2 linked regions of the Tribolium castaneum genome follow. The protein of the gene in region 2 interacts with the protein of the main gene of each other region in a pairwise test. Links are inferred from orthologs where the notes say so. Each region holds a gene or a part of one and is shown on either strand. Other genes may lie near its edges. The genes, in order: polyadenylate-binding protein 1 and gw.

What was found.
Region 1: the proteins of gw (region 2) and polyadenylate-binding protein 1 interact in binary tests that used the Drosophila melanogaster proteins (3 or more experiments, as listed by UniProt). The link is inferred for Tribolium castaneum from reciprocal best matches to the Drosophila melanogaster genes gw and pAbp.

The regions. Positions count from the first base shown.
Region 1 is NC_087403.1:5,253,436-5,269,796, reverse strand, and holds polyadenylate-binding protein 1, read left to right. Parts: upstream 1-7,708; 5' UTR 7,709-7,955; coding exon 7,956-8,148; intron 8,149-8,293; coding exon 8,294-8,860; intron 8,861-8,911; coding exon 8,912-10,029; 3' UTR 10,030-10,381; downstream 10,382-16,361. Other genes in the region: siz (IQ motif and SEC7 domain-containing protein 1), read right to left, coding at 1-821, 873-1,121, 4,372-4,628; ScsbetaG (succinate--CoA ligase [GDP-forming] subunit beta, mitochondrial), read right to left, coding at 11,118-12,081, 12,128-12,227, 12,279-12,402, 12,456-12,512; pyrethroid hydrolase Ces2a, read right to left, coding at 13,377-13,516, 13,562-13,776, 13,824-14,280, 14,326-14,488, 14,534-15,058, 15,117-15,341, 15,383-15,493.
Region 2 is NC_087399.1:1,985,233-2,001,869, reverse strand, and holds the start of gw (protein Gawky), read left to right. Parts: upstream 1-6,344; 5' UTR 6,345-6,498; intron 6,499-9,823; exon of another isoform or gene 9,824-10,416; intron 10,417-10,467; exon of another isoform or gene 10,468-10,604; intron 10,605-10,676; exon of another isoform or gene 10,677-10,783; intron 10,784-11,516; 5' UTR 11,517-11,555; coding exon 11,556-12,153; intron 12,154-12,209; coding exon 12,210-12,329; intron 12,330-12,386; coding exon 12,387-12,643; intron 12,644-12,695; coding exon 12,696-13,443; intron 13,444-14,073; coding exon 14,074-14,390; intron 14,391-14,442; coding exon 14,443-15,228; intron 15,229-15,278; coding exon 15,279-15,421; intron 15,422-15,629; coding exon 15,630-15,783; intron 15,784-15,837; coding exon 15,838-16,055; intron 16,056-16,105; coding exon 16,106-16,343; intron 16,344-16,388; coding exon 16,389-16,508; intron 16,509-16,556; coding exon 16,557-16,637. Other genes in the region: lysosomal-associated transmembrane protein 4B, read left to right, coding at 584-1,121; developmentally-regulated GTP-binding protein 2, read right to left, coding at 1,708-2,262, 2,313-2,627, 2,674-2,831, 2,883-2,946; coiled-coil domain-containing protein 137, read left to right, coding at 3,060-3,136, 3,184-3,736, 4,338-4,514; innexin inx2, read right to left, coding at 4,728-5,246, 5,294-5,637, 5,683-5,923. UniProt on the Drosophila melanogaster protein: Required for gene silencing mediated by micro-RNAs (miRNAs). Silences both polyadenylated and deadenylated mRNAs. Required for miRNA-mediated translational repression and mRNA decay. Not required for miRNA target recognition.

The sequences.
Region 1 (16,361 bases), on a different chromosome or scaffold from region 2:
AGGTGGATGTGCTAGTGTTGGAAATGTTCCCTAAACTGGTCTCTAAGGCCGGTTCGGCGTATTCCGAAATGTGATTTCCTTTGCGCTTCCAGACTGGCGATCCGGAAAATTCACATTGCACGCGTTCAGTCGATATACTACTGTCACTACCGGAACTTTGGACACTTGACAACGAGCCGTTTTCGTTTGTTTTGGTCAAGCCGTTGCTTTTGTGGTGTCGGGGGTCTCCGACCGAACGAGAGGTAATACTTGAGGTTCGTTTAGGTACTTCTGGTGGTACTTTTCTACTGTTCAGACTGTGGCGGCTGCGAGCGTAGCCGTTTGTGGAAGTTGTAGGAGTACTACAAGAACTGGGACTTGCAGTCACTTGGGTACCTAGCGAATCCGATTTGGAGTCAGCGGGTGAATAGTAGTGTTGGAGGGAGGATGAGGAATAATTCTCCCAACACACTGTAGGAGTCCCCGACTGACTCCTAGGTATTGGCATATTGTCAATATTACGTCTCTCGCGCAAAGACATCGATCTAACTGGAAGAACTCTCATATTCGAGCAGTCGTGTCCTTCATAATTCCTCATATATTCGGGACACTGCTCAGTCTCACCTATTGTGCTACGACAGTCTTCGGAATTTGCAGGAATTCGGCGACTAATACGTTTCTCGGCTTTGGCCATTGCTGTAATTGCTGCGAATTTTTTAAGTAGTGTGTATCGTCTGAACGCCCGTTGAATCGTGAGAGCTGCATTTCGCGCTTTAACACCGCCATATTTCCGTTCCAACACTTCGATTTGTTTGTCGAGAATGTCTTGCGACAGCTCGTATCTAAATTTACCCGAATCAGTTTTCTCTTACATGACACTGGAGCGTACTTACGTTGTCTGAACCCTCGACCTTTTCAAGACATCTCCGTTCCGTAAAGAACCCTTCTTATGAAGAGGCTGCGATACATTCACGTACGTCGAGTTGTTAGGGGAGGCACGGGAATAGATAGGACTGGGGGTTGGAGTACTGTAGTTTTGAGCTTGGACAAAACTGGGAGCCTGGATGTAAGTCTGTTCTTGAAACTGGTCGGATGAACCCATCGAATTCACTATCTGGGACCTTTCCATTTTCGGTGGAAAGCTGAAATTAAAACAATACAAAAATAACAACAAAAACCTAAATTACTGTTCACAACCTTGAAAAACTGAATTGTGAACTTTCTGTTATTGACCTGTTGCCACGCAAAGCAACAAAAACCATTTTAATGTCACAACTATTAAAAACCCAGTAAACCAGATAGAATGAAATGTCATTAAAATAAAACAAGAGAAATTTTACATTTCTTTACCCAGCACCACAGTGTTGAGGCAACTACTCCAACGATACATAAAAACACAATTAAGCATTTAACTAAATGAACAGACGACTATCACATTACAAAACGCCCCTTTGCGCAAATCCTAATTCACAGAAAAACTTTACGGAAATAAAAAATACAAAAATGATTACGTTTCAAGTCGTAATTAACTGAAGCCGGGAGTGGTTCAAGGGCTAATTACAAATTTATAAGTTTTAATAGGACACGCAGGATGATTCTATCCTTATGAATAAAACAGACTTCAAGAAATTCACTCAACTTTGCTAAAACAGTAAATACAGATTTTTTTAAATGAAAGTCCGTATTTGCTTTGATTTCCCAACTTGTCGGAAATCCTTGAACCGTAAAGTTTCTATTTTAAAATTCTTATGAGGCATGTACCGGGGTAGGTCAATTTAAATATTTTAATTAAATCTGATGATTTGTCTGTATTATCTACAGGATGAGTGTAATTGCTCATTTATGCATAATTTAACGTAAAAAATTTCACCTTATCAATAAAAAAATTAATTAGTGCAAAAGCAAATAAAAATCCTTACTTTCCCACCAAAAAGCCCGATATGCAAATAATCATCTCGCAAACACATGCACCAAAACAAAATAAACAGAATTGAACTGCAGCAGTTTCTCGAGTGCTGTACACCCTAAGAAGGCAGCTGGCGAACTGAAATCAAGATGGTAAATGGTTCCTAAATCACAGGTAGTCAGATGAACCATAAAGGAAAAAATAAGGTCGAAGAAGAGCAGCTGGCGCATTTGGTAAATCGGGCATCATGTGTTTCATCATCAGAGAAACTATTAAATTTTAAGCAATGGACGTGACATAACTTATAAAACCTGAATTCATTTTGACCAATTGGTAGAAATTCATTGACATTATTAGATTAGTCATAAGTTTAATCGTGCCGAGGCTTCAAATTAGAAATAATGCGACAATACCATGGGAAATAAGTCGGCCGTCAAAATTCAACAATAGCACGTATCTTTTTTCGACATACAACCATACTAGCCTTGATTGCAGATATCCAGGAAACGACATTTACCAAAATTATACATTCATTTTTTATCATCCGAGATAATCACACAGGAAAAAGATACAGAAATGTCGATGCTTAGTCTACAGGGTAAAGGATGTTGAATTTCCTTCGTTACTTGGTTTAGGTTTGGATCGTTTCAAGAAGGTACATATATCTTAAAACCGACACGATGCACGTGTCCGGCTATCACGTGATGCAACCCCCAGGGGAGGCGAGGTGCAAGGGAGGGGCCGGCAGGTGGCGGCCCTAACGCATGTGTGGCGTGTGGTGACCGAACGAAAAGCAGATGTTTTTCGAATACTTTCGTCCCCCTTTCCTTCCCTTCGAGAAATCGAAAAGACTTCACTTTTTAAATGTAAAAGGAATTAAATATATTGTACGGTTTGCGCGACCTCGATTATTTGCGGCAATTTCCGCCCGCCTAATTCACTAATTTGTTTCAAAATTAGCCGCATACGGATGAAAAACATTCAAATGGCGTCAATTGTCTTGTTTTTTCTAATTCGAGCCGAAACGAAATTAATTATTCTGGGGATTCGGTGACATTGCTTGAAATCATAGAAAGTTTCGATAAATTGCTGCCATTGCATAAGCGACAAACTGGTCACGACGTTACCGAACAAGTGCAAAAAATTACGTTTACTAATTCGATAACAAATATTGCCATATTACGCTAATTGCTCCCACTTTGGACTTGACGGATGTGACGCAAATCTCGCCAAAAACCACATGGAAAATTTTTAAATCGGCAAAGATCAGATTTTATGACGATGGTCCGGGTCGAATTGACATTTAGAAACGGAAGTACGGCACACGATCGCCGCATACAACAACAAACGATAAAGCATTTTATGTGTAAATAAATTCAAATTAGGAAAAAGTACGTTTATTTTACATTCTAAAATTGCGTATAATTAAACGATAAAGGAGAAAGTTGTTCGAATATTCAACATTTGTGTGCTATGATAAATGGCGATTTTCTAAAAAAAGAAAAAACACATCTGTCAGGTAGGTGACATAATACGTTTAAATGTTACAACTTTTGAATTTTGATGAGGCACTTTACTAGATTGTGCCGAAATTAGAGCGCGTCATGTATTCTAGTGATTAATTAAGCGTTAAAAATTACTATTACAGTTAATTCAATTAATTTACAGATCTCGATACATTAATCTGATTTAATTAACGAATTAACGCGTACAGCTACTTTTTTACTTCACTCAACCTTGATTTCATTAGAGAAAAGTGTGTTCAACTACTGCCCAGTGCAGTGGCAGTAGCATGCAAGCAATTATTATAATAAGGTACCAACATTCCAGTTATCAAAGTAGGGTAGAGACAATTAGCGGGACTTAATGTAGGTATAACGATACCCTCATTTCAAACACCGTTGCCACATTTGAGCGACGTTGTCACACACCTGTGACGTAACGTGACGTCATTTTATACATCAAAAATTGCTAAAAAACGATGCTTTCACTCGCAAAAACGGAAACTAACGTGACATAAAATGCAGCTTACAGTTAAACCAATGTAGGTTTAATGGCGCATTAGCAGCCTAGGTACAAAACAAAAATAAACTAATACGGTAGGCGCATGTTAATTACCCCAACGGTAAATGCACAAGGAGGTCCGTGCCCTGATCACCCACCTATAAACAATGATTCATTCCAAATGACAAAAACGTGGCTTATCAATAATTTCTAATTGTGTCGGTAATGAGTGAGTAAGGGTACGGAGATCTATTGTGGCTGTTAAAGTACAATTGAAACAATTTAGCAATCAGCGTCATTAATCATTTAAAAGCGACTTTTTCCAAATTATCCTGACAATGGAAAAAACGCGAATCTTGTTCAGGTCTGTTGGATAAAGCAACATAGTTACCCAAATACGTACTTGTGAAAAATTGAGCTCTTTAAACATATACTTAGGTATGACATTGAGAAATGTGAAATGTTATTTTCCGGGACTTTACCTGATGACAGTGACATGTTTCCGGAAAGGCGGTAAAGTGTGACATGCGTCGGTAACAGTGACCAGTCTACTGACATGTTGTCTTCTGGTGGTGCAAACCACCCTGATCCGTTCTTGTTGTATTCCGGAGCGTCTAACTCTGACAACAGTTCTATCGCACACATCAACCGTATGCACAGGGTTCGACCTGACATGTTCGGTTCTAACTTGACTCTGCACGAAGGGTTGGGGAAACCCCCCTGGCGACTGTCCACGCATTACAAGCACTCACAATTCACGTACCATGATTGCACTTGCGACCGGATTGAACGGCGATAGTAAAAGTAATCGTACTTTCTACTTTTGTGTCGATCACTGGTGGTGGCCGGAAGCACTAGGGTTGTTAAATCGCGGGTTTTGTACACAGTTTGCGGATTACAAATGTCAGCTGACCGTGCCTCAGCACAGACAACCGAATGGAACGATCGGCACAGTTAGAAGAAGGCGAGCGGGGCTACAGCCTGACGTCACTTAGTCACAGTCCTTGGTGTTACATCACCACAAATAAACACCGAGGCAGATCAAACCCTGGTGCAACCTAAACCTGGCGCCCCGACGACATGTGCGACTCTACTACACGACCACAAGCCTCAAGGCTGATGCACGAGCAATTACCGCAAACGTGTGGGTGCTTGCCAATACCAAGAAACGCCAGCTAAAGAATCGCCTCAAAAACGACAGCGCGTTATAGACTAGCCTGAGGATATCCGTTCACTTTCCCTTATTTAGAAATCAATACGCCGTTCGACTGTGGCATATATGACACTTTGTGGGGACCCCGAGCGCGATTTCCGCCAAAGAGTGCATCCTCGAGGTTAATGACACCAGGACAGCCCCCAAATCCGACCGCCGCCTCCCTAATCCCATTATCCACAAAAACAAAACCTCCAAACAGGACTACCAACAAAACGCCAATTACCTTAATTTAATAAAAACCATCGACTTATTATCTTCTTGACCAGTGTGAACGGTCGGCGTCGCGACGTCGCCACGCATGCGCACAGAACCAAGTCAGTGGGAGGCGTCGTTTATGACATTTTACAACATCCTTGTCCCAGAAATGTACAACAAAAAACAAACAAACGCAAACTTTGCAAACAAAACACGACTGCCACTTTAAATCATTTGACGTTTCATCAATGAAACTGCGACCGATTTATGACAAGGGTCGCATCTCACCCTTGGAGGGATTTCCCCATTTTTTAATTATCGCAATAAATAAACGGGTGTTTGATGCCGTTTTCTCACCTTTCATCTTGCAACCGTTTCAGTTCCACCATTTCCAGCTCGAACCTCAGATTGCTGTTTTCACACAGCAAAAGATCCCGCTCGCTTGCAACTCCATCCAGTTCCCTCTTTAGCCGAATTATCTGGTCCCGTTGTTCCCGTATGATGGCATCTTTTTGGGCCAATAACGAATTTATATCGACTTCTATTCCTGCCATTGCAGGTCTCCTACTGTTCACACACACACGATCCTCAGTTGTTACGGTACCGTCCAAATTTTTAATCTGACGGGCATTTTCCTCCAGCAACGATTTGGTTTTTCCTTTTTTCACACAAGTTTTTCAAAAAAATTATCACATCTTATTCTGAAACGATATTGACAGACGAAATACAACGCGCCGCACTGTTCCTTGGTTTTTCTCACTATTATTCATCTGTCTCTCTTACGTCAGGAGCGAGAGCACAGAACAAAACGGGATGAACAAACCTACACACGTTGCCCCATCTGGAAATCCCCTCCAGTAACACTTCCAGGATGGTAACTTAGCGACTTGTCTTACCGGCCTACCACGAATTTCCGCACAAATTGCCGATAAAACGTGATTTCTCACACGAAAATGGGTGACTAACTTTGTTCACCTGCCTAATCAGCACAATAGTGCTTTGTAGATAAAAAAATCAGATAAAATGTTAATAACAATTACCATACATGGCCACGTGAGTAGTTGCGATGTTGCCACATTGCCATGTCCACAAGAAAATAAAGCACTCTTTGTTATTTTTGTTTGTTTTTAATGAAACAAGAGGTCCTCATGTTTCCAGTTTTAAATATTCTTAATCTACATCAAAAATCAAGACAACAGAAAATTTATTTATATTTATTCATTTTTAAACAATTTCTGTAATATATACAATTAATCTTGAATTTTAACTAACTCCGAAAAACTATTTTGTATGGATTTAACACAAAATAAACTTAGCCGATTACAAAATGAAGGCAAAAATTATATAAAATGTAATAACATTCATCTTGTTAGTCTCATCAGTGTTTTCTTAATCTTTGTTATAAAATATGGTATATAAAATCTATTTCTTCTCAAATATTTGTTATCTGACTCTAAAAAATTGCGTAAAAGAAAAAAGCACCTGTTTGAGCAAGTAAATTTACTCTCACTGAATTTTTGTTTAAACTAATAATAATATAAATCGTTATCATATACTTGTGGCAGCAGATAAGACCGTTACATATCGAAAAAAAATATTTACACACCGATTTATCAGTGAGAGTTGGTACTTAATTTTTTTAATGTGTTCGTTAAATATGAATATTAAAGCAAACTACTCTTAAGACTGTTCGTAATGCCATTAGTTGCTACCACACCATAGATGAATCACTCACTACTTCTTATCTTAATGATTACGAAAATATGTGAAAAATGAAGCTTTTTGGACAGGTCTCATCCTAATTACTTATTAAGTGCTACTATTAATATTATAAAAGACATCCGAATGAGTTAAAAAAATTGTTTTAGAGAGTTAGATTTCTTGAAAAAAAGAATTTTGAATTTTATAATCGAAAACATAAATTAAATAAATTTCACGATTTAAATGCTAAGAATTTAAAGCACGTAACGATTTCCGTTTGAACGTCCACAATTCGTTCTTTCAAATATGCCGCCACAAGTTTGACATTAGAAATTAGATTTCCGTTAGAAATTGTGTTCATATCAGCCTAAATTTGTAACAATTTGACTATAAAAAGTGTTCTGTGGTCACGAAAATTTAAGTCGTATTTTTATTAAACTTTTAAAAGTTTTATAGGAGACGGTACGTGTAAGAATTTTTAAAAATAGTCATCTTTGTCAACGGTCAAATTTTATGGTTTGGCAAATTTAGCTCGATTAAATTGAGATAGACGTCGGATTCTTTCTGAAACGATGTATGAAATCAAAAATGTGCTTTTTTTGCTAAATTGGTCGCAGGGTCCGTTAAAATTGATGTATTATTCAATATTTCATCACATGGCAACACTGGAATCAGTCATATCCGGCTTGTATAAGTAGTGAAAATGCTGTAACGACTCCATTTTGTTACTGTTGTTAGTGGTGTAAGCGTGTGGTTGTGTATCTTCTTAGAACACACAACCCACCTAAAAAAAAGCTAAATAATATTTACAAAAATCCAAAAAAATTATAAAAACTCATTAAAAACCCCAAAAAAATCGAAAAACAGTGGAAAAAACGAAAATAAACGGTTAATGTATATTTTTCGTTTCTTATGTTAACGCGTAGCATATCTGTGTAGTGTGCAAGAACGAAGATGAATCCGGGTGCTCCAAACTACCCCATGGCGTCTCTGTACGTCGGGGATCTCCACACCGATATCACGGAAGCAATGCTTTTTGAAAAGTTTTCCACTGCTGGACCAGTCCTTTCGATTCGCGTGTGCAGAGATTTGATAACGAGGCGTTCTCTCGGTTACGCTTATGTGAATTTCCAGCAGCCCGCTGATGGTAAGTGCGAACCCAGTGCCCATTTATTTGTTCCATATGGTACCCGACTGCCATTTAATATTTAATCCGTTTTGATTGTTAACCTTCCCCCACCACGCTCGCAACATTGAAATTTCTTAGAAATTGGTAAATGTTAATGTTGCAGCCGAACGCGCTTTGGACACCATGAATTTTGATTTAATCAAGGGCCGCCCAATTCGCATTATGTGGTCCCAACGCGACCCATCCCTTCGTAAGTCGGGAGTAGGAAATGTTTTCATTAAGAATCTAGATCGTTCCATTGACAACAAGGCTATGTACGATACGTTCTCAGCCTTTGGAAACATTCTCAGTTGTAAAGTAGCTCAAGACGAAAACGGCACCAGCAAAGGCTACGGCTTCGTCCATTTCGAAACAGAAGAAGCGGCTAACAAGTCGATCGAAAAAGTAAACGGCATGTTGCTCAACGGAAAGAAAGTCTACGTTGGCCGTTTCATTCCACGTAAAGAACGTGAAAAGGAGCTTGGCGAGAAAGCTAAGCTCTTCACCAACGTTTACGTCAAGAATTTCGGCGAAGACTTGACTGAGGAGCAACTGCGCACCATGTTTGAGAAGTACGGCAAAATCACCAGTTACAAGATCATGAGCAAGGACGACGGCAAGTCGAAAGGATTCGGATTTGTCGCCTTTGAAAGCCCTGAAGCCGCTGAGACAGCCGTTGAAGCTTTGAATGGTATGTTGCTTGTTGAGAGTGGCCGATTTTGTTTCTAATGTCTTTGTTTAGGTAAGGAAATCATCGATGGAAAGCCTTTGTACGTTGGACGCGCCCAGAAGAAGGCCGAGCGTCAGCAAGAATTGAAACGTCGCTTCGAAGCCTTGAAGATGGAGCGTTTGAACCGCTACCAAGGCGTGAACCTCTACGTGAAAAACCTGGACGACACAATTGACGATGAACGTTTACGTAAAGAATTCTCTCCGTTTGGAACCATAACATCGGCGAAAGTAATGATGGAGGACAATAGGAGCAAAGGCTTTGGCTTCGTTTGTTTCTCGTCGCCGGAAGAGGCCACAAAAGCCGTGACCGAGATGAACGGCCGGATCGTAGGTTCAAAGCCTTTATACGTGGCCTTAGCGCAGCGCAAGGAGGACCGTAAAGCCCACTTGACATCACAATACATGCAGCGTATGGCGAACATACGCATGCACCAAATGGGTCAGTTTATCCAGCCTGGAACGTCAAGTGGGTATTTCGTTCCAACGATCCCAGCCCCGCAGAGGTTCTATGGGGCGGCCCAGATGGCCCAGATCCGCACGAACCCGCGATGGCCGGCTCAGACCCCCGTGAGGCCCGGAGCCCAGGGCAGCGCTAACCCGTACGGTACCATTCCGACCACGTACCGAGCCGCGCCAAGGCCCCCGAACCAGTCCGCCGCTTTGAGGAGCAATATCAATGTGCCAAGACCAATAACCGGCCAGCAGCCACCGAATATACAAGGACGACCATTAGCTAGCCAAGCCGTTGTAGCACCTGCAGGTAATCGCCCAACTACTTACAAGTATACAGCAAATATGCGTAATCCTCCACAAGGTTTAGGCATCAGCAATGCTGCTCCGGTCCAGCAAGCTGTCCACATTCAAGGCCAGGAGCCTTTGACAGCCACCATGTTGGCAGCTGCCCCGCCACAAGAGCAAAAGCAAATGCTGGGTGAGAGGCTCTTCCCACTTATTCAACGCATGTATCCAGATTTGGCCGGAAAAATCACCGGTATGTTGCTCGAAATTGACAATTCGGAACTTTTGCATATGTTGGAACACAATGAATCCCTCAAAGCCAAGGTGGAGGAAGCCGTTGCTGTCTTGCAGGCCCATCAAGCCAAACAGGCTGCTATTAAAAAAGAGTAAACGGTCGCTTACTCAGACAAATAAATATAATAAAATGAAAAAAATTGCAAACATGTCTTACGACAAAAAAACTTATATAAAAATCGAAACATCATCATAAATGAAACTATTATTATGCGTTCGTGATTTTTGCTTGTTTGCAATTTTCACTATCTTAGTTAAATAGTTATTTCTTTGGTTTTTAGTTACTTTTCGCATTTTCCAATATCCTATTAATTGATGTATCTGCAACTTACTGAATTTGTAATATAAAATTGTACATTTCATATTTATTTTTCGTTCAAATTAATTTCTCAATCTTATGTTACTCTCTTGGTTTTTGGAATTTTAAAATAATAAATCTTAATAAAAACACATTCTTTTATTTACCACTTCACTACAATAAGATCTAAAAATAATATCTAAAGCACCAGAAATAAAATTCAAGGTAAGTATTGAAAGTACCAAAATAATTCAACATTTTAAAACACTAAAAAAAAGATCTAAGCTTACTTTTTCAAATGCCCAAATACGATTTTAAAAAATGATTGCGATTTGTCCAAGGAACAAGGGTGCTGTATTTTTTTTAATGACTTAAACTAGGATATAAGATGAAGGAATACTGAAAATTGTTTTAAAAAACTTGATTAATCGAAAAAGCAATAAAAAAACAGTACCGTAAAATTTTCTCACAAAAGTACATAACTTTTATCAAGCAAACTTCAAATTTTATAGTTATATTCACATTACCTTACCTGACTGCCTTAAATACAGAGGTGGGCAAAAGTATGGAACGAGTTTTTTCAAAAATAAATTTTCGAAATTCTTTTTAGTAAGTATTAGTACTTTTAGTATTTTAGAGCATAATCTTTTATCAAAAAAATTATCGTAATAGGGTGCCATTTGAAGAAAAAAAATTTTGAATACTTTAAAACTATTATCTGGGATATAATGGTGTAATGAAAAACGAATAGTATATGAGAAATTTTTATTAACCGAAAATACAATATCAAAACGAAGTAATGAAAACATTGGTCATTTGAACAGTTTTTTGTGCTGTTGACTAATGAGCAATATCAACAAATTAACACTTTATCAACAAAAACACGTTAGGCATTCTGCACCGCTTTTTTGGCGGCATCGTCGAGATTTTCAGCTGTTTGGATATTCATGCCTGAATCCTTGATAATTCTCCGGGCCTCCGCCGCATTCGTGCCTTCCAGTCTGACAATCAAAGGCACTTCAAGCTTCATCGCCTTCATTGCACCCACGATTCCATTGGCAATCGTCGCGCAATTCACGATCCCGCCGAAAACGTTGACCAAAATACATTTAACGTTCTTATCAGACGTGAGAATATTGAACGCGGCTTTGACCTGCTCCTCGCGGACGCTGCCCCCGACGTCGAGGAAGTTGGCGGGGTCGCCCCCATGCAGCTTGATGATGTCCATGGTGGCCATGGCCAAACCGGCGCCGTTGACCAAACAGCCGATGTTTCCTGTCATCCCGATGTAGTTCAGGTTGTATTTCGCCGCTTCGACCTCGCGGGGGTCGCTCTCGGTGACGTCCTCCAACGCGAAGATGTCCTTTTGGCGGAACTGCGCGTTGTCGTCGAAATTGATTTTCGCATCCACTGCGATCACTTTATTGTTGTCCGTTTCGACCAAAGGGTTGATTTCGAGCTGAGTGGCATCGACGGCGAGGAAGAACTGCCACAGTTTTTTCAGCTCGGCTGCGGCCAAACCCTTGAGGGGCCCCTTGAACTCCAGGAACTCGGCCACCTCATTGGCCATACTATCGGTCACCCCCTTGTGAATATCAATGGGGATGTTTTTGATCAAATGGGGCGTCTTCTCAGCCACGGCTTCGATGTCCACGCCGCCTGCGGGGGACGCAATTAAGACAGGCCCGTTCTTCTGCCTGTCCATTAAAATGCAAACGTAGGTCTCCCTCTGAATGTTCACACTTTCGGCAATCATGATTTTTTTCACCTCGATGCCGTCCTTGGGCGTCTGCTTCGTGATAAGCCTGTGGCCGAGCATTTTTTTGACGATATCGTCGACTTCATTGCGTCTGAAACAAACGCTCAATTTTGACAAAACCACAAAAAAAATTTTACTTCTCAGTGACATGAACCCCGCCTTTAAAACCATTGGTAAAGTGGCCTTTGCCGCGACCACCCGCCAGAATTTGTGCCTTTATTACGTATTCTTTCACATCTGCAAAAAATTAAACAGTGACATAACCCCAACTTTTATTAACACTTTTACTAAATTTATCGAACTCGGAGCATCCCTTATCATCAACCATGCAAAAGTCTTGCACAGCCACCCCATTTTTGCGCAAAAGGTGCTTGCTTTGGTACTCCAACAGGTTCAAATAACGCACCGGAACCTGAAAATGATTGAGGTTATGTCATGTTTTTTGCGAATTTGTAAAAAAGTTACGGAGAATTGTTTTATCTGAGTCGGGACTTTTAAAAGAGAGTTCCAGAGGGAAGACATTGTTTGGTTTTCGCAATAAAGGCACTGCACACTTATCACTGGTATTTATCTAATTGGGGAACAGCACGAATGCACAAAGTCCAAATGTCTGAATGTTTTATCTGAAATAATTGTCCATAAAAAAAGACGGAGCGAGAAATTGCTCAGTGACGCAACTTTCGGCCAATTTGTGGGATAATTAAGCAAAACACACTCCTTAAGTTATTTTATATTGATCTAGGTTAGGTTTTTCCCATAACTCTAGGAAAAAAGCATTGATTTTGATTTTTGGTAAAGGGAAGGTAATAAAAACGATTTTTCGATTTTCTTACGCAAAAAACTGTATTTTTTATACACATATTTATACTTTTTCCACCTGTGCTAATTAGGTTTCTAGGTTAAGAATGCGGGATTTTATTTTAAAACAAACTAAACGGGACAGATAAATATCTATTAGTTTTTATTTTTAGTACACATTTAATATTTTTAATAACTATTTACAAAAATAGGCGTTTTGATTTAAATAAGGGGCTGTGCTCGCCATTGGTGGAATCTATATGTCATTGTACATAAATGGCCAATAACAAACTAGATAAGTATGTACAGTGAAGGTCACAAGATAATTATTTTTGGACACTATTTTTACAAAGGTGATGACAAAAACAATAAAATTGTTGTAACGACACATCTACAGTCGAAATATATTTATAAATGCGTTTGTTAAGCACCGATATGTACATATTTTCCCGTCTACCTGATTCCGCTGACATTTATAAATAGAATTAAAAAAACTTAATAGTCCTGTCTTGTCGCCCAAAAACGTATCACAAGTGATGAGACATCTAAATATATTTAGTTAATTGAAAACTGGTTTGCAACTTATTTTTAATATCCCATATGAAGATGATTTTCCCGCTCCCTCGATCGCTTTTTCAATAAAACAATGCAAATTAGGAGCAAAGCGAGCAGGGCGATCACAAGAGCCACCAAAGTGTACATTGCATGCCGGAAACCTGCAGCCGGGTCTAGAACTTACCAAATAAAATGCAACTTTGTGAATTAGTTATTACCTGGACTATTTTGTAGCTCCCGCGGGATGTTATTCGATAAATTATTCTTAATATTGGCCATTTTTGGCACGAGCTGGTTCCAGAACAAAACCCTCTGGACGCGTTTTTTATTTTCTTCATTTATGTGGGAATTAACCGGCCCAAAATTTTCGATATAATAGTCCCCCGAGGTGTATTTTCGCCACGATCTGACCTGATTGTTTAGTGTCGGCTCCCTGAAATTTTTTCCTAGACTTTGGACTATTCATGTTGGGGGAAATACCCAAACATTATAAAGTTGGTCCATAACTGTTTGATTTGTCGACTCAAATTCATTTCGTTGGCGTTGAACCGCCGCCTGGCCACTTGCTTCAGCAAAATCGGTCCAAATACCAAGAGAAGGTCTGTGGTAATGGTCGAATCGGTTGTATTGAGAACAAACCCAACATCATCCATAAAATAAACATAAATTGGTTGCACGTATGACGAAATCAGGTGCGAAAGTTGCAAAAAATGTGGCGCTTCCACTTTGGCCTGAAACTCAAAATCTTTCAACTCGTCGTAGAGGAGTCTAACGTCCCCTTGGTTCGACGAGAAGTACTGCCACCTGATAAGGTCATAAATGTGGTCTTTGTTGGACGCCCCGAGTTTATACAAACGCGCAATTTCGGGGATTTTCACCTTTTCGACGTATTGTTGTAACTGGGTGAAGCCCTGACTTGCGAGTTCCAACCACTGCACTAAAAATAAGGGTCAAGGAGGGACGATTGTCAAAAAAACGTTACTAAATTGCTCGTCGGTGATAGGTTTCGAAATTCCGGTCAGAACGGGAACTTGCCAATCTGTGCCTTCTTTGAGCGCATTTGTGGGGTTCAAAGGGAGGTACCGGTTATTTTCCGGTAGGAAGGTGTCCACAACGGGCAAAAATCTATCGTTCCAGTTAAAAGACTGCAAAAACCGATGAGTGTCTCGAGTATGGCTGTCCGAACGCACCTCTGAATACTCAGCCAGAGCTTGTAAAATATGTTCCACTTTCTTTGATCGGAGACATTTAATCGGCTGCACGGTGTAAGCGTCGCAACCTAACATCCGAAGTATCTGCTTGGATGCCACCACCGGGTCATTTTTCTCCTGCCAGGTCGCTACGGCACTTCCACTCGAAATGATAACCCTTTGGAAGAACCCGGCGGTCCGCGGCGAAACCATATGAAAGGTCACGCTCACAGCCCCCGACTGGTGGCCATAAAGCGTGATTTTTTCGGGGTCGCCCCCAAACTGATTGATATTTTGCCGGATCCAGACCAGAGCGAAATACTGGTCCAACAACCCCAAATTTCCGCGCGCTTCGGCCGACCCCAAGCAAAAAAAGCCGAAAACGTTCAGTCGGTAGTTGAGCGTCACGACCACCAAGCCCTCAGTCGCCAAATCTTGCCCGTTTATCGGAAACTCGCTGCTTTGGTAAAAATTCCTCCCTTCGAAAAAAACCACCACCGGCAGTGGGGCGTACAGGCCTGCGTTCTGGAAAAGTCGCCACAAATCCATTTGTGGAAATCGACAAAAATGAAGACTCTCGAACCTCAGGCGACCAAACGTTGAGGTAGAGACAGTCCTCCTGGTCGTTAATTCCGGGCTTTGGGGGCAGCTGGGGGCAGTGGGGTGCGAAACTGGTGGCTTGCCGCGTTTCGTTCCACGGGGGGTGTTTCAGAGGTGGGGCAAATCTCAGATCGCCTGTCGGGGGCGCAGCGTACGGAATGCCGAGGAACGCGTTTACGGTTTTTCCCGTGTCGGTGATAATCCTGGACTGTTAGGGGGTGAGACAGGGTTTTTTGGACGGTGACTTACCCCTTCCAAAAGCCCTTGTTGTACTCTAACTGACGGGTGTCTCTCACGCCAATTTTGGCACTCAATGAGATTCAAAAAGATAGAACAAACGATCACTTGTGTTAAATACATCACGATTTCGCGTCGAAAATTAAATAAATTTATTCTGTTACATTGTATTTCGTCAATGTTAAATCGCTTCAGCAATGAAATGGTACATAACGATCATAACAAATTTCATGAGTGTCCATGTATGTGCTTCCGGTTTTTCCCTTTTGTTGCGCTTCCGGTACCATATCGAACTGTACCATACGCGAAATATTTTATTTACAAACAATCCTATTTTCACGAAGACTCGCTGTTTCATTGTTATAGTTGTGATTCATTCGCAATTATTCATTTTGCTAATTCTTTAAAATTTGTCAAGCTATGACTAAGTCCAGACGAATAAAATTCAAAATTGGCCATTTTCCAATCAAATACTATGAGTTTTTTGTGGCCAAAAGTTTTACGAATATTGTCTTACTACAAATCTAGAGACTAATTAGGAATGAGATAATTTGCATTTGTATTATTTATTTAGTATTAGGGCTAGACTATGCGTCATTTTAATAATAAACTTCTTGGGTGCTGTTTTTAATAAAAAAATCACACTTTTGAAAGTAAGTTTATTTCATCTTCAATTATTCCGCCTTTCGAGATGTTTGCGAATCGCGACCTGGTTTTACGGCGATAAGGGAAGCGAATAAAAATGTTTTTTATGGAAATGGGATAGTGCGCTAATTATCAATAAAACTTGATCCAATAATGGTGTGATAAAGTTGTTTGTGAAGACTTGGACAAGCGAAAAAAACAACATATGTTTGCTGTAATTGTGAGATTCAAGATAGAATGTAAATTCTCGCGTAATACTTCCATATAAGGCTCTGAAGCTTAGTTTTCAGGTCACATTACTCACAATTTAGTCAAATATAGTTTAATTGCATGCGTAACTGTTGAT
Region 2 (16,637 bases):
ACAAAAAAAAATTAAATTATTTAAAAAAATACGGTATTATTTCTTCTTTTCGAGCGTTTTACAGGATTTTCAGCCAAAAATATCATTATTTCACGAAATTTCATTAAGAAATAAGCCGAAAAATCGCCGAATTCGGTCGGAAATTGTGTTATTTTTCTTACTGAGCTCGTTCCTGTTCTAAAAACTCAACTTTTTGAGTGATTTCACTAAAACTGTTTGAATTGGGTCGAGGTGACATTGTTTGGCTTTTCCGAACGTCTAAGCACGTTTTTGGATTAGTAAACAATCTTTTAATAGATTGCTCGACAAAAAAAAACACTAAATTGGGTAAAAAATGTACGTTTATTAGTTTGGGGAAAATAAGTAGGACTAAGTGCGTGTATTTACTTTCAAAATAATGTATTTTTCCTGAGTGTTTAGCACGTTTTTCAATCACAAAAAAAACGAAAAATCATTAATCAGAACGCTACAGATTTCCATTTCAAAGCCTTGTCCGAAAACATCGTGCCGTAACATTTTATAATTAGCACGTAATCTGCAGTTTTGCGATAAGTTGATTTATTGGAGCCCTAAACCCTTGCAGATTGACAGCCACCGGCTACTTCTGTTATTTGCGTTCAGTCCATCGCCTGGTCGCCGAACACTGGCACAACCTCCCTTTCCGTAACGAACTCCTCAAACTCAGTCCTCAGTACCTCTCCCTCCTGGTCCTCGCCGCTTTCCTCATTTCCATGCTATGGAAAGCCTATTGCATTGGCATAGTGTGGCGTTGCTACAAATACCTAACTTTGCGACAACAGTCGCGCAACAATACCATCCATTACATCCTTCCAACTGAAGGTTCCGATCGGTTACCAGAACCGGACTATTCCACTTTATTGCGCGAGCAGGAGGCGGCCTTTGGCGGCGCTTTGAAAATGACGCCGCCGCCCTCCTATCAGGACATTATGGAGGATCAGCCGCCCCCATATCCCACCGTTTTGGTCAATGAAGTGCATAGTCCGGGGACTTACAGGGTGGAAACGGAGGCACAGCAGCCCCAAGAGGCCGCCGCTGAGGCAAGCAACGAGGGCCGAGAGGGAGAGAAGAAGGAGGAAGAGGAGGGTAATAATAGTAAATAAACGATTATTGGTGTAGTCATAGTTATTATAACGAAGTGTGCACTTCTTTCAATTCAATAAATCGATTTTCGTGTCAACATTCCACAGTTTGAGTAGAAGCACTTAGAAAACAAAACGAGAATTCAAATGTGTATTTTAGATTAAAGAAATGAGTGTTTCCTAACTAATAACGAAGTTTATGTAACATATCTTATGCTAATTACGGTTTCAAGAGTGTACTCTTTCAATGTATAGTCGGTTTTATTTATTTGAAGGTTGACTGAACTTTAGAATTGCTTTAATTTTTATATGTGAGGCGCAAGGCCAAGTCGGCCGGCTGAATAGGTTGTTCAGTATCTATAACATGTACTTTAAAAGTAAATATAGCTCGAAAAATGCATGGCCCATTTATTTGCCACCTTTGCAATATTACAGTGGAGTTCGGTTAACGAAGTAAAAAATCCAGTCAATAGAATCACCAAATACGGTAGGAAAGGGTGTTTTTTTTAATTAAATATATAAAATTTCGCCACTTAAAAAATGTTCGGAAATAACGGCCAGAAGTGTAAGAAAATCATTTAATAATATGCAGTAACAACGAATCTAATTACTTCTTAACTATTTGGATGACGTCCTCGTCGTGCATGACGTGGGAAGTGCCGACCCTTTGGGGCGAGTATTTGGTGCTCGTGCCCCAGACTAAGGCATACTTGAATTGCTGGGCGAGCGTTCTGTGGATTGCGTGACACACATGCTCCACTGTAACCCCCTTTCTCAGAATCAAGCCGTCGCTGAAATCCGGCGGCTGTCCCGGTTTTTTCGTATAAACGCGAATTAAATTTAAATACTCCCAGAGGACTTGAAGGAGGTAATCTAGGTTGAGCTTCATGTTGCAACTGACGACAACACTGTTCGGCTGTCTGGCTATTCTATCGACTTCCTCGATCGAAATCTGATCGATTTTATTATAAACGTAAAGGCATGGAAGATAGACGCGGTTCGCACAAATCACGTCGATTAACTCATCGGCAGTGCAGTCTTCCCTGAAGAGAACCTCAGCGTTGAAGATTTTGTACTCGTGCAGAATCATTTGCACGAGCTTTTCGTCGATTTTCGTCAAGGGACAAGTGGAATTGAACGAAATACCGCCCCCTTTTTTCACCTGTTAGTGTCAAGAATTAAATTACACAGCGAGACGGGCGCCAGACTTGCCTTGAAATAAATGTTGGGCTTCATTTTGTTCAGCCTAATCCCCACACTTTCCAATTCCTTTTCTAATAAGTGTCGGTGGACGTCCTTTTTCGTGGCGTCCAGCATCATGAGGACCAAGTCGGCCGTGCGTGCCACCGCTATCACCTGCCGCCCCCTGCCCTTGCCCTGGGCAGCCCCCTCGATAATCCCGGGCAAATCGAGCAGCTGGATATTGGCCCCATTGTAGTCGATCACGCCCGGGATGCACGTCAAGGTCGTGAATTCGTACGACGCTGCCTCGCTTTCCGTCTTCGTTAAAGTTGACAACAAAGTGGACTAGAAAAAACATGAAACGACAGGTCAGGGGGTTCCCAAAACTCACTTTTCCGACTGACGGGAAGCCGATCAAGGCCACACGCGCATCCCCACTTTTTAAAACGTCGAAACCTTCACCTTTTTCCGATTTTTTCGAAGGCTCCAAGAGCTGGGAACGGTATTTTGCAAGTTTGGCTTTGAGGAGCCCTAAGTGGTACTCGGTGGCTGAAATAGGCCAATAAAACAACACAAAAGGGGGCGAAGTGTCTCCTGTACCTTTATTTTTTTGCGTGCGAGAGATTTCCTTCTCGATTTCCGAGATTTTTTCCAAAATTCCCATTTTCTGGCACGTTTTATTCCGGTTTGTTTGACATTTGGCACGATTGGCACCACTGTTTGGTGTAAATATAACCTCAAGTTTTGCTATTTATTTTGGGGCTAAAGGGTGTTAAAATGGGGCGCAAAATTCCAGGCCGGAAGCATAGGGGGGTCCGAGACCCCGAGAAACAACGTGCGGAGCGCGAGAAAAGGTACAACGTTGTTCGGTCTGGCATAACCTTACTTTGGCACGTTTCAGTCTTAAGGATAAAATAAACGCGCCCCCGAGTAACCCAGACGAACAGTACGTTCCTAAAAGTCTGCAAAGGATCGCCGAGCTTAAGGCGAAGGTTAAAAGTGGCGATTTTTTGCGCAAAAAGGTGAAAAAACCGCGTCCGAAGCCATTCTTTAAACAAGGTCCGAATGAGTCAGATAAACAGTTTTTGTATCGGGTGCACAAGCACTGTGCGATGGTTAAACACGAGGCGGCTTTTGAGGAAAAATTTGGGGTTGAGGTTCAGAGGAATGCAGAGGGGGAGATAGAAGGGGTTAAAAAACGGGCTAAAGACCCCGTGCAAGTGATGGTTAAAGAAGCAAAACAGGCCAAGAAGAAGAAGAAGGAAGAAGGGCCTAAATTAACAAAGTCGCAAAAAAGGAGATTAAAATTAAACGAAAAGAAGCAGAAGAGAATTAATGATAAAGTTGATGAGTTTGAGAAGTTTCAAGATAGGGTTAAGTTTGGGGAACAAGTGCATGAACCACCTACATTGACTGCGCCCCGGAAGGTTAAAACGGGGGGCGAAGCCCCACGAGTAAGTCACGCTTTCGCATACATTTTAATGAATTTGAAATTAAGTTGGCAACATTGTCACTCATTCCGGAGGGGTGGCCGCGTAACTGTTGCCAACCCAAATTCGAGCCCCAAAAGTTGAATTTTTATTATTTATTTTGCGAAATAAACTAAGTTTTTAACTGAAAAAACGTGCTTTAACCAAATTTCACTCAAAGTCGAACTAAATACCAACAATTTCGAGTTATTTTTTTAATTTTTGAGCGTGCTTTGACAAGTCTACGGAGGACTATAACTTAGGAAACGAATAAATCGCAGATTTCTGTACCCAAAAAAATAGTACGGGTGGGGAAAATGAGGGCGCTTCGAGCGTTATACCGAAAAAAATGCAGAAATGTTGAGTTCTGCATTCTCCACAAACTGACCTCTAAAATTTTGATGAGAAATATGGGAAAAAATTATTAAAATTTGCGCTTCGTCTCGTATTTTTAAAACGCTGCAAACTGTAGACAATTAAATTTTCTTTAAAAAGTCCTCAAGACCATATTTCTATCTTCTGAGTAAACCAGTGTTGCCAATTTAATTTGAAAATAACAAACGTAATTTAAAAAACAAAATTTTAGCCCGGCAAAAAAGACTTGTTGTTGAAGTCTGTTCTAAACAAAACCAGTAATAAAGTGATTGATAAAACGGGAAAAAGGAAAGACTTGCCAAACGCCCTTAGGAGACAACTTGATAAACAACAGAAGGAAGTGATTGAAGCTTACAGGGAATTAAAAGGCAGGAGAAGTGAATTGTAACTATTTTATTAACAAAAATACAAAAACTTTATCAAAATACAATATTTTGTTTAAATAAAAATCAACATGAACACTTGTGATGTAACGATAAGTTCAGAGAATGTTTGAATTTGGGTCCCAAGTCCAAAATTTGTGATTTAAAGTTACATCAAACGAACGAGCTTAACTTAACTAGGAATTGGTAACTTAAGTAATAAGTTGTCTAGGAACACTTTAAATAGTATTGACTTCAACCCCGGGATACACGTAGGGATTTTTGTCCTTGAGCGTTTCATAAATACCTAAAACTAGCTCCCGGAAAACAATCGGGTTAACATTTTTGCCAACATGATACAAAACGAAAAAATCGCCGTAACTGAACTTTTGTATAATCGAAGTGGCTTGTTTACTCCCGATAAACCTGGCTTGCGCCATTAGGAGATAAACGCGCAGTTTCGGCACACAAACGACCACAAAACGATAAATTAGCGACAAAAAAGTAACACCGGAAAGAAAAAACAACCAAAACCACAACACAATAAACAACTTTTCATTTAAAATGTTCAGCGGGAGGATACAGAGGGCGTCCCGGTTGACCTCGGAGCCCGAAGGGCCGTAAAACCTGTACTGACACTTGGTCAGTTTCGGGAACACTTCGTTCATTGCGTTGATGTCCCCGTTGGCAAAGACCTTAAAACCGTAGAGGGCGAACTGCCCCCCCAGGAACGTGTCCATGAGGAAAATTTGCAAAATCTGGCAAAAAATGGCTTAAGCCCAGCGTAAACAAGGGGGCAACTTACCACATTGGCCAAGTTGAGTATCTCACAGACGACGTATCTGATGGCATACAACGTGTGGAAATATTTCCCGTTGATTATGTACTGGATCATTTGGGACTTGGTGGTGGGGTTCCACGACGCCGTCACCAGGGGGGTGTTCAGGTCGCTCACCAGGAGCCTCAAACGGCCCCCTTCCCACGTCTTCCACAAGTAACGGGGCAGGTAGAAGAGCAGCGCTTGGAAGCAGAAAACGATACAAACCCACTGGTAGTACTTCTGCCAGATGATTTTATCATCAGGGCTCCGCATCCAGGGCCGTATGTCGCGGTTGTCGAGCCCCAAACCCGGAATAAACCCACTTTTGCCTGCACAAAATTTAAAAAAAACGTCCCGGCTTGTTGGCCAATTACCTGATAGGGTGTCCCGCCGGATGTACGTCCCGTGTATCCAGCAGTACGTCTCGACGATGTCCCGGTTCTCCTCCACTTTGCAATTGATGGGGTCCCCAAAATACTGCTTGCTGGTCAAGAGTATGGAAAACACGATCAGCATAATCACGGTTAATTTGTAGTGCAAACGGAACACGTTATTGTCAGTACGGATCTGTTCCACCTTCACTAAGGACTTGAAAGAGTTCAAAAAGTCCATCATTGTAAGTTAATTTCAAAATGAACAAGTTTTCACACTCGACCGGTAGAAAATGGCGCCAAGTGCCTGCCCCTATTGCCAACCGCATAGAGGCGAAAGTCGCAACTCGCGGTTTTATTCCACCAAAAAAGATTTTTTGTTTGTGCAATTAAATGGTTTTTACTGCTGGTTTTATTGTTCGGGTGATCAAATTATGACACTGTTAAATTATGGTCAAACGCGCCGATCGCCTTTTGTTTAATTTGGGGTACAAACGACCTCGTGTGCCACCGGTGATTTTCCAAATCCACAATTAAACCGTAGTCGGGTAAAGTGGGGCACGTAAAATACATAGTACTAGTACCGTGGCTAGTACGGGCCAACTTCCGGGAGTTTGCCTCCAAGTGGCGCGAAAATTCGAACGGCCGGAAGCGGTCGCCGGGCCGACGCATGCGCGCGGCCCAATAACAGAAATAGACTTAAAAATGGCGTCATGCTTCGACGGTCATTTAGATGTTTGACGAGAATTTCAAGCTGAATCTGTGTGATTTCGAGTGATATTTGTGCGAATTTTTTAATTAAAAGACTTTTACGGATAGGTGAGTACACAGTTTGCTAGTTTTCCCGTTCGGGTGGCACTTGTCCGCTTGTGGTGCACCGCCAAATGGCGTCTTACCGAAAATGCAAAACACGTTCGGGCGAGAAGGGGGCTGCCGGGCGCGAGGCCGCGTTGTTTTGGTGCGCACGGCGCGCCGCCACAACATTCCCCAGATTGGGATTTATGCAATGGGAGCGAGTGAATGTATCTTTTTAGTGTCTAGTTGGGTTGGCTCGCGGGCGGAGCGCCGTTCTTCGCAAATATGCGACCTTGATTGAGCATGAGTACGAGCTCCGGACTTACTTATAAAGCTGTACTGTTGCCAGGCTCACGGATGGAAAACACTTTTGATTGTGTGTCGTTGGCGTCGGAACGCTTGTTACCGTCACAGGTCGCTGGACGGGGGCCAAAGGCGCCCCCAGGACCGCCACCCGCGATTTTGCGATTAAGCGTTTACTGGCCCTAGTACTATTAATACAATCGGAGAGGGAATTATTTATTTGTAAATAAAGGGGATATTTGAGTTGCGTGCTTTGTAACAAGAGTCGGGCGCTGATTGAGCCTCAAGGTTACACGGTTTCATTCAGAAAGAGGCTGACAATGACAGATGGCGAAAATGGGAACAATTCACGGAGATTTTCCCAGGTTTCCTCACATGATTCCATCAAAATCCACTGTTAAAAAAGTTCAATACGGTCCTGGAATCTTGGACATGCTCTTTTGTCTTTCGTCCTTTTATTTATTACACATTTTTTTAATAAGTAATACTGTTTTTAAAATTGCACAATTTGTGTACTCGTTATCTATTTATTTGTTGGACAATCCTGAAACCTTCTACTTGCATTATCTTGGCCATTATTTAAATGTTTATCGTTATTAACACAAATGGAGGACGTGTGCTCGAGAAAAAGGCCTGTTTATGCGAATAAGCGCCGCTTATAATTTATGTCCCTGTTTCTTGCCTGGAATTAGCGACAATAATAAAAATTGCAAGAAAGTTCCTAGAAATTTTTCCCTGTTTCCTGCAAGTGAAGTGTTACATTAAGTTGTAAATTTACTGTTATTAAACGCAATAAACTTTAAATACACACAAAGTGCATAATTTATGGTTGTTTGTGTAACAACGCCCTAACGAGTTTCAAATCTTTTAAATTCAATTATGTTAAAATAGTCAAGTTATTACAACAATTTGTTGACCTGCTGTTACAATATTGAAAAAATCCGGTTTTATAAATATTCAAATGAGCTATTTTTGAACGTATTAACGAAATCGCGTTTTTGCCAATTATTATCGATCGGTATGAATATCTTGCACGGGTTAAACACCTTGGGAAAATATAATAAAGTAATAAAAAAGTGTCGTCATCCACCCGAGAAGTTTAATTTCATAAAACCATGGTGCGGAAAAAACCATGCGGTTTGTTAACCTCTCAATTAGCACATCCAGAACAGTTATCGAAGGCTCTTCTTGGTTGGAACAAGGAAGTGCGTGATTTCTGGCGTATCAAGGGGGGCTAATAGGGCCATCACCCTCGTGATTTGTTTAATTTAATTTAATTTTATTTATTCTAAGAGATAATGCGATAGGTTGAAAATATAAAGCCATTCCATTTTAACGGACGGGACACTACACAAGTTTTTATTTTTTTTTTATTTTCATCAGAAGTGATATTTTCTTTATAGACACCGAGTACCAGTCAAACTGTTCGCAACCTAGAATTAGAGCCACATTTATGAAATTTTAAATAGAGCAGGAAAAAATATGAATTGATAACGGACGGGACACAAAAAAACTTTAAATTTTTTTCGTTATCATGGTGAAAATAAAACAATTTTTCCATGTTTAGCTTTATTTTTAACCGATTTTCAGTTAAAAACGAGCTCAGTGCAGTGACAAGGTCTAAATACTATCAATTTTGATTTATTTTTGAGATATTTATGCGTCTTTTGACAAGATTTTGCAAGATTAATAAGTTTCTGGTTCATGAGTCTAGTGAAACTACTGCTAAAATAATATCAATTTCAGTTTAATTTTCTGATTCTAGCAGAATTTTTAGAAAAAATAACTAACTCAGAAACTCTGAAATGTGCTTAAACACTCCAAAAATGCAAATTCATCGAGCAGTTTTGGCGTAATTTAATAAATTTTCAAAATTTTACGAAATAATTGTTGAAAACTAGTAGCTCGAACGCTCATAAATACAAAAAAAAATCGTAAAAAAGTTAGATTTTGGTTCAAAAAAGTAATTAAGGACTTCTTTCAACTTATAAAAAAACAGGCTAAAAACTTATTTAAAAAGTTGTAATTTTTAGGAAAATTTTCGGGAACAAACTTACTTTATTAATTTTTAAGCCAACATCCATAAAAAAAGTGCATAAACCATTCATAATTTGTTTTAACAAATTTAAAAAAAAACTAAAGGCTTGAAAAACGTCAAGTAACACAATTTTCGACGAAGCGAATTTTTTCGTATTTTTTGAAGCAACTTAATTTTGACATTTTTTTTTGTTTTCCTTAGCAAGGGTATGGATTTTTGCTCTTTTGTTTCCTATGATGTCAGTTTTTAATTGTTTTGTACATCATAGGACATCAATTGTTGATTTTTTTCAACAGTTATTCGTTTAATGTTCCAAGTGCTGTCGTTTCCGCTAACTAAAGTTAGAAAAATATGATCTGGAGCACCAAAAGCTTAACTTGAAAATTTAACTTTTAAGAGCTATATCTCGTGAAAAAAGGCTTAACCAATGTTTTTATCATAGGAACTTTTAATTCATTTTGATTATCAGCACCCGAGAAATTCATGTATTTTGAAAGATTATATTACTAAAATTATTTTGAAAATGTCAGGTACATTTCTCTTGGAAGGGCTCTATTAGTAAAGCTCTCAGCTTTTCCTTAAACCACTATTAATTTATTTTGAGAAAAAACAAATTAAACTGAAACAATTTGAATTTTTTGTTGTTTGATAGAAATCCTCCGATGAGGAATGATGGAGTTACAATTAAGTTAATCCTGATGGGGCCAAAATTATTTTATTGAGAGGGAGAAAAGTGTCATTTTGCGCCTTAATTGACGTAAACGGGGCCTAGTTCCGTCCGTACGTGATGATGACTTCCTCCCCACGTCGTCCTGACCCATTTAATCCGTTCCCGAGTTAAGGTCACAACAGTTTCGGCCTTGCGTACCCTTCGTCCGACCTGACCTTATCCCTTTTCCCTAGTTGTGTAAATTGGGTCAGGGCGCGCGTCGGCGGCGGCGGCGGCGACGGCGTCGTCGCCGTCGACCATAAACAGTTAGCTCGGATTCCGTCTCCGATGCGCTATCACTGTTATCAGTCCCGCAAAAAGGGTGCATTTTCTCAGCGCGTTTAACATTAATAATAATAGTAACGGTGTCGCCACCGTTCATTGGCCGCCAGGTTTGTTTTTATTTACGTTGTATTCTGCGAAGACACGATCAGGTTTTGCAATAGTGGTGGTGGCCCCTTGATGTACCCCCCTGCTGGATGCCTCCCGATTGTTATCGAAATCACCTTCCGTACTGCACGCTTTCCAAAAGCCGAACCGTCGCGATCGCGAACGATTCGAGCCGAGTGAAGGTAGCCCTGCCACGTAATTGCGGATCAATAAACAAATCTGTGGTGCCCGTATAATACAAGTATTTAACGCCAAATTATTGAAATAATTGTGATATTTAGTATTCTCATTTGTTCGTGTGATAAATCACCAACTTTTCAACTGTGAACGCGTTACAGTTTAGTGCGTATTTATTGGATAATAATTCGATATGACTTGGGTGATGTTTCTCAAGCGTTCTCATGCTCCCCTCTACCAACTTGGCTAGTTGTTCCACGGGCGTCCATATTTGTGTGTAAGTTTTTGCATTTATTGTAACATTTTTTTAATCGTCCGCAATTATCTGAAATGATTGGATAAACAATTCGCTCGAATGACGTCACGTATTTTATACTTTGCGCTCACTTTGTGTTACAATTTGGTGGATACTTGGCTATTCTTATCGATTTTTTACGACCAGCAACAATTTATCAAAATGACATTTTAATTTAGTTCTCCCAATGTTGGTAATTGAAATTTTCGAGTAATCCGACGCCTACTCGTGCATTGCTTACACAATGCGTCAAAATAATCTTTCATTTCTAAAATTAAACCGCAGAGATACTGAAATGTAGGTGGTTGTCGCATTTCGTGCATCTCTACCGCTCGCTAAAGTGGGTAGTGGCGTTTTCTATTTCATTTTTTGATTTTCTTTCACTTTATTATCGGAGGTTGGTATGTTTGACGTTTATTTGAATAAGATAAGATGGCGGTCTTTATTCTAAATAAGGGTGGTGTTTTTACCGATCCCTGGATTTAATTTTTTGATTTTGTTTTATTAATTGCAAAATTTCGTCCAAAATCAGCCAAAAATTCGCCTAAACTGGTCAAGAATGGCGTTGTCGGAGTTAAAAGTACGTACTGTTCAGAAATGGCTGTTCATCAAGTCACCTATGAAATTTGAACGCTTGATTTAAATTGTGAATGACGTCAAAATGACAGTTTTGTCAAAATAATTCTAAAAACGAAAGAGTACACAGCAAAAATCGTGGAAATATGTATAAAACACAATTCAAGACCCTGCACTTTTGCCGAAAAATTCAAAAAAGTGAGCAAAAAGTTAATTATATTTGAACACATTTTTTTCCTTCTTTCTAACACATTTTTTGGTAAAATTTAATCAAAAATTCTGTCAGTGGAATCACCAAATTCGGTGGAAAAGGGTATTTTTGGTTTTTCTTTTAAACAATATTTCTCCCAACATTTTATTAAAACACAGAAATCGCCCAAGTTGCAAGTCGAAAACTGGCTAAATTAGTGCAAAAATATCAATATTTTTGGCTTTTTTTCGAACATTGTCAGCTAGAAACGTAGTTGAAAGTAAGCGTTGTCGGCCAGAAACGGAACTATTTTTCGTGATTTTTTCAAAATGTGTGGAAGAGTTGAAGTGTTGGTGTTTTGCAGATCTCTGGCTGGCCAGACTGATATGGAGCACTAGTGACGATGCGCGCCCCCACCCCCTCCGAGCCGAAGTCTACATTTCCTACCTACCAAGTGCCTCAAGTGTCAGCCATGAGGGGCAGCGCACCCCCAGTACAAGTCGCTCGGGCAGCTTGGGGGGGTCGAGCCGACCCCCCGAGCCAACCCATCGCCGCTAAAGGCGCCACATCTGTGATAAACGGCTCAAGTTGCCGTTTAAACGGCAACTCTAATATTAGAATGCAATCTGTGACCGAAAACTGTCTTCTGAACTCTGTTACCGTACCAAAAATACAACGTAAAGACCACTGCAAGGTCGCCCACAATAATAGCGATAAGTTAGTATGTAAGTTTGGTGCTTTACCCCTCGGACGAGACATTCCCAACCAAAAGTCTGATGACCTCGAAGTACTCGACCTCAATGCACTGAAGAACCTCACTAGCTGCGATAACAACGACGAACACTGCGACGACGACGAAATGTGCCGTGAGCCCCACGTTCAGCGCACAAGCGATAATCATACGCCGCCTCTGAGATTAAGAGGCGGTGGCGAAAGTTCGCTCAGCACCGGCACTTCTGGCTGGGGCACCCCACCCTCACAACAGGCCAGTAATAATAACGGTAACAAACCCCTAAATCATTTTATTCATTTTAAACGAATTCATTCCGTAATATAGCTAACACTTCGAGCGGCTGGGGAACAGCCAATCCCGCTAATCAAAACAATACAGGCACTCAGCAATGGAACAATAACGCTAATCGACCACCGACCTCAAGCCAGGGACCTACGCAAGATGGTAAAAATTTGATCAATTAAAACCGATACAAAAAGTATTAATTTTTTATTCAAATAGCCAACAAGGCCAATTCTAACCTGAATTCGAATGGACAACAACAAACACCCGCCTCACAACCAAACAATTCCAGTTGGGGTCAACCAGGTGCAAAACCACCAACAACCAACAATGGACCCCAACCTACAACTTCGACATCTTCAGCTAAACCACCCAATCCCACCGCCCAACCCAACACGACCACTTCAACCAAACAACAACTTGAACAACTCAACAACATGAGAGAAGCCATCTTCAGCCAAGACGGTTGGGGAGGCGTACGTATTTTTAATTTTTTGCGAAATAAATTTAACTAATCATTTCGTACAGCAACATGTGAATCAAGACACGAACTGGGACATCCCCGGCAGTCCCGAACCCTCGATGAAGATGGACGGTTCAGCTCCACCTCCTTGGAAGCCAGCAATCAACAACGGCACCGAACTATGGGAAGCCAATTTGCGTAACGGCGGTCAGCCGCCTCCACAGCCCCAACAGAAAACCCCATGGGGTCACACCCCCTCGACCAACATTGGCGGTACCTGGGGCGAAGACGACGACGCCGACAGTTCAAACGTATGGACCGGTGTCCCCTCAGGCCAGCAACAATGGGGCAATACTGCCAATAGTGGCGGTATGTGGGGCGGTCCGAAAAAAGAGTCCGAATGGGGCGCAGCGGCTGGAAACCCTGGCTGGGGCGATCCGCGCACTGCCACCGATCCACGTGCAACTGGAGGCATTGATCCGCGCGATATGCGTCCAGATTTGCGAGATATGCGAGCCGGAAGTTCGGATCCGATGCGTTTGTTAGATCCGAGAGAACAAATGAGACTGGCTGGAAGTGATATGAGAGGCGATCCGAGAGGAATCACCGGAAGACTGAATGGTGCTGGAGCCGCTGATGCGTTCTGGGGACAAGCGGGACCGCATACAGGGACACAACATATTCATCATCAGAATAAAATGCCGGTGGGACCTGGAAATGGGGCCGGATGGGAAGAACCATCGCCGCCGACACAAAGACGTAATATGCCCAATTATGATGACGGTACTTCGCTCTGGGGCAACCCTCAGCAAGGTAGCGTAGCGGAATTGCACTTATTTATTTTATATTTTTGATTGGTTTGTTATTCTTGTCGAAATTACACGCAAAAATTGAGTCATGCACTTGATATAATTAGATAAGGTACAAGTGGCAAATGCATTTTTGTTTTAAATGTTTACGTAAGGTTTGAGAATTGAGGAAAATTTGTCTTTTGCTTGTGCAATGAGAAACAAAAGGAAGATAACTTTGTTTCATAATATTTGATATGAGATTTGTGTGACATCAAATTTATTTTAAGCGGTTTAAAATTCCTCGAGGTCCATCAGGTTCTAAATTTGGCTATTGTAATGTCTTAAAGAAATAAACATGGTTGTTGTTTGAATATAAATAGAACGCGTCAACACTGAGTCACGTAATAATGAAAAAAATTGGGGATTTTAGAGCTTACGTTTGAATTCAAATAGAATTGTTTGCGTGTTTTTTGGGCAAGACATAATGTAAATATTTCTTGTGCTAGAGAGCGGAATCGTCGAGGGGTAATTAGACTAATCATGATTTTAATTTTGTTTAATTTTTCTTTGACATTTCCACACGAGATTAACACCGCAGACACACACTGATCATAATCACACTTGCACTCATCCAACTTTTCACCTACAATAGGCTCTCACTGGAAAGATCTGCCCACAGGGGCAAGTATGGGACGCGGTAGCACCGCTGGTCCACCTGGAATGGCTCAGTCCCGTATAAAACCAGACGGTTCAGTGTGGTGTCATGGGCGAAATGGTTCATGGGACGAAACCGGACCGGGATGGGACGAATCCGTGGGCGGTTGGAACAAACAGAAAATGGCCGGGACCCATCTATGGGGCGACAACGAAATCGACTGGGGCCACAACAAAGGACCCAAGCAAAATCTCACGAAAGAAATGATCTGGAACTCTAAGTGTTTCCGAATGTTGATGGATATGGGCTACAAAGTCAGTGCTTAAAAAATTGTTGTTGTTTTATATTGCGATTTTTTTTTAATAGAAAGAGGACGTCGAGACGGCGCTTCGCCGCGGCGACATGAACTACGAAGACGCTCTTGAAATCCTGGGTTCGCGTAATCCGGACGGCTGGCGAAACCGCCACGACGACCACTACGACCATCAGCAGTTCCCGGGTCAGCGTTTCCCGTCTGGACCCCCAGGCCAAATGTCGTTCCCGCAGGGCAACAACGCCCCGAACCTCCTCAATAACATGAACAGTTCAGGTGGGCCAAATAATTCACTCATTAATAACATCTCGCCTGCTGGAGTACACAAAATGTTGACACAAGGCGGCGGCGGTTCGCAAGGTTTTGGTGCTGTTTCGGCGGCCGGACGCAATCTTCAACCCCAATCGCAACCCTCAACTCAACAATTACGAATGCTCGTACAACAAATACAGATGGCCGTGCAAGCTGGTTATCTTAATCATCAAATTCTCAATCAACCGTTGGCACCGCAAACTTTGATTCTCTTGAATCAATTGTTGCAACAGATTAAGACACTTCAACAGTTGATGACACAACAGTCGGTTGCACAGTCGCAATGCATCAACGGGAAGCCGAACAGTGCACTCTTGCAGTGTTCGGTGTTGATTACGAAGACTAAACAACAGATTACGAATTTGCAAAATCAGATTGCTGCACAACAAGCCATCTATGTCAAACAACAAAACCATGGAAGTATCGGTGGGGGACAGTCGGATTTGTTCAAGACGGCTGCACCGATGCATGACTCGATTAATGCCCTACAGAGCAATTTCGCCGATTTGGGGATTAAGGATCAAGTGGTGAGTTGAGCAAAAAATTGCGTATGTGATACGGGAGTGGTTTTTTACAGAATCAGAGTCAATCGAGGCTTAACCAATGGATCAATAAGGATAAAGAAGAAGGTGGAGAGTTTAGTCGTGCCCCAGGTTCATCGTCAAAACCTTTGGCTACCTCACCTAACATGAATCCACTAGGGTTGACCCAACCCGATGGGTGAGTAGTCTGTTTTTTTTTTTTTTTATTAAACAAATCTTGCTACAAATACATTAAATATGAACCAAATCCTGTAAAGTTAAAATTTCAATGATTATAAACAACGGATCCAATTAATGATGGTTGCGTGATTATCAATACGTTATGAGTCAAATTCGAGTGAAAAAAATCGTTGATTTTGCTTAAACCTAAACTAATGGAGCAAAAGTCCTTGGTCTAGCGGCCGAACTGGCGACGGTGGTTGGCCAGAATCCGGCGGCGGCGATTCATCAAACGATGGTAAAGACGCACAGTGGCCTACGCCTACTCAACCATCCTTGTCTGATTTAGTACCTGAATTTGAACCTGGAAAGCCCTGGAAGGTACAAAAACCGGCCCAAAACTAACACATTATCTAATCCCGCGCAAAATTCCAGGGTAATCAAATAAAATCGATCGAAGACGATCCCAGTATTACTCCCGGTTCAGTAGTGCGTTCGTCACTCTCAATCGCCACCATAAAAGACACCGAACTGTTCCAAATGAATCCGAATAACAAGAGCCCCCCGGCCGGCGACACAATCCAGCCTTTAAGTCTCAGCTCGTCGACTTGGAGTTTCAATCCGCCGTCGTCGACATCGAGCGCGTTCACTAGGTTCGAACAAACCAACTAACTCGCTTCGTTCATTTCACTGTCGCGTTTAGTCCTCAGAATAAGTTGCCGTCATCGAAGAGTGGTCTAGGTGAGTTGAATCCGACCACAGCTGTCACGTCCGAATTATGGGCGGCTCCGAAAAGTCGCGGCCCGCCACCAGGTCTGTCCGCCAAAGGTGGAGCCCTGGTCAATGGCTGGTCGTCGGCGGCGTCGTGGGGCGGCGGCCAACGGGGCTCTGGAAGTTGGGGCGGGTCTCCGTGGCTTCTCCTGCGCAATTTGACCGCTCAGGTAACGTTAACTAGGTGATTTTTTGCGCTTAATCGAATGTAACAGATTGACGGGTCGACTCTACGCACACTGTGTATGCAACACGGCCCATTGCAAAGTTTCCACCTTTACCTGCATCAAGGTTTCGCTCTTGCCAAATACTCGACACGTGAAGAAGCTACTAAAGTAAGTTGATTAAAGGGTAGGTTTGTGGGGGTAATGGTGCGATTACAGGCTCAAACTGCCTTAAACAATTGCGTGCTCGGTAATACGACGATTTTGGCGGAGAATCCGTCAGAATGGGACGCCAATGCT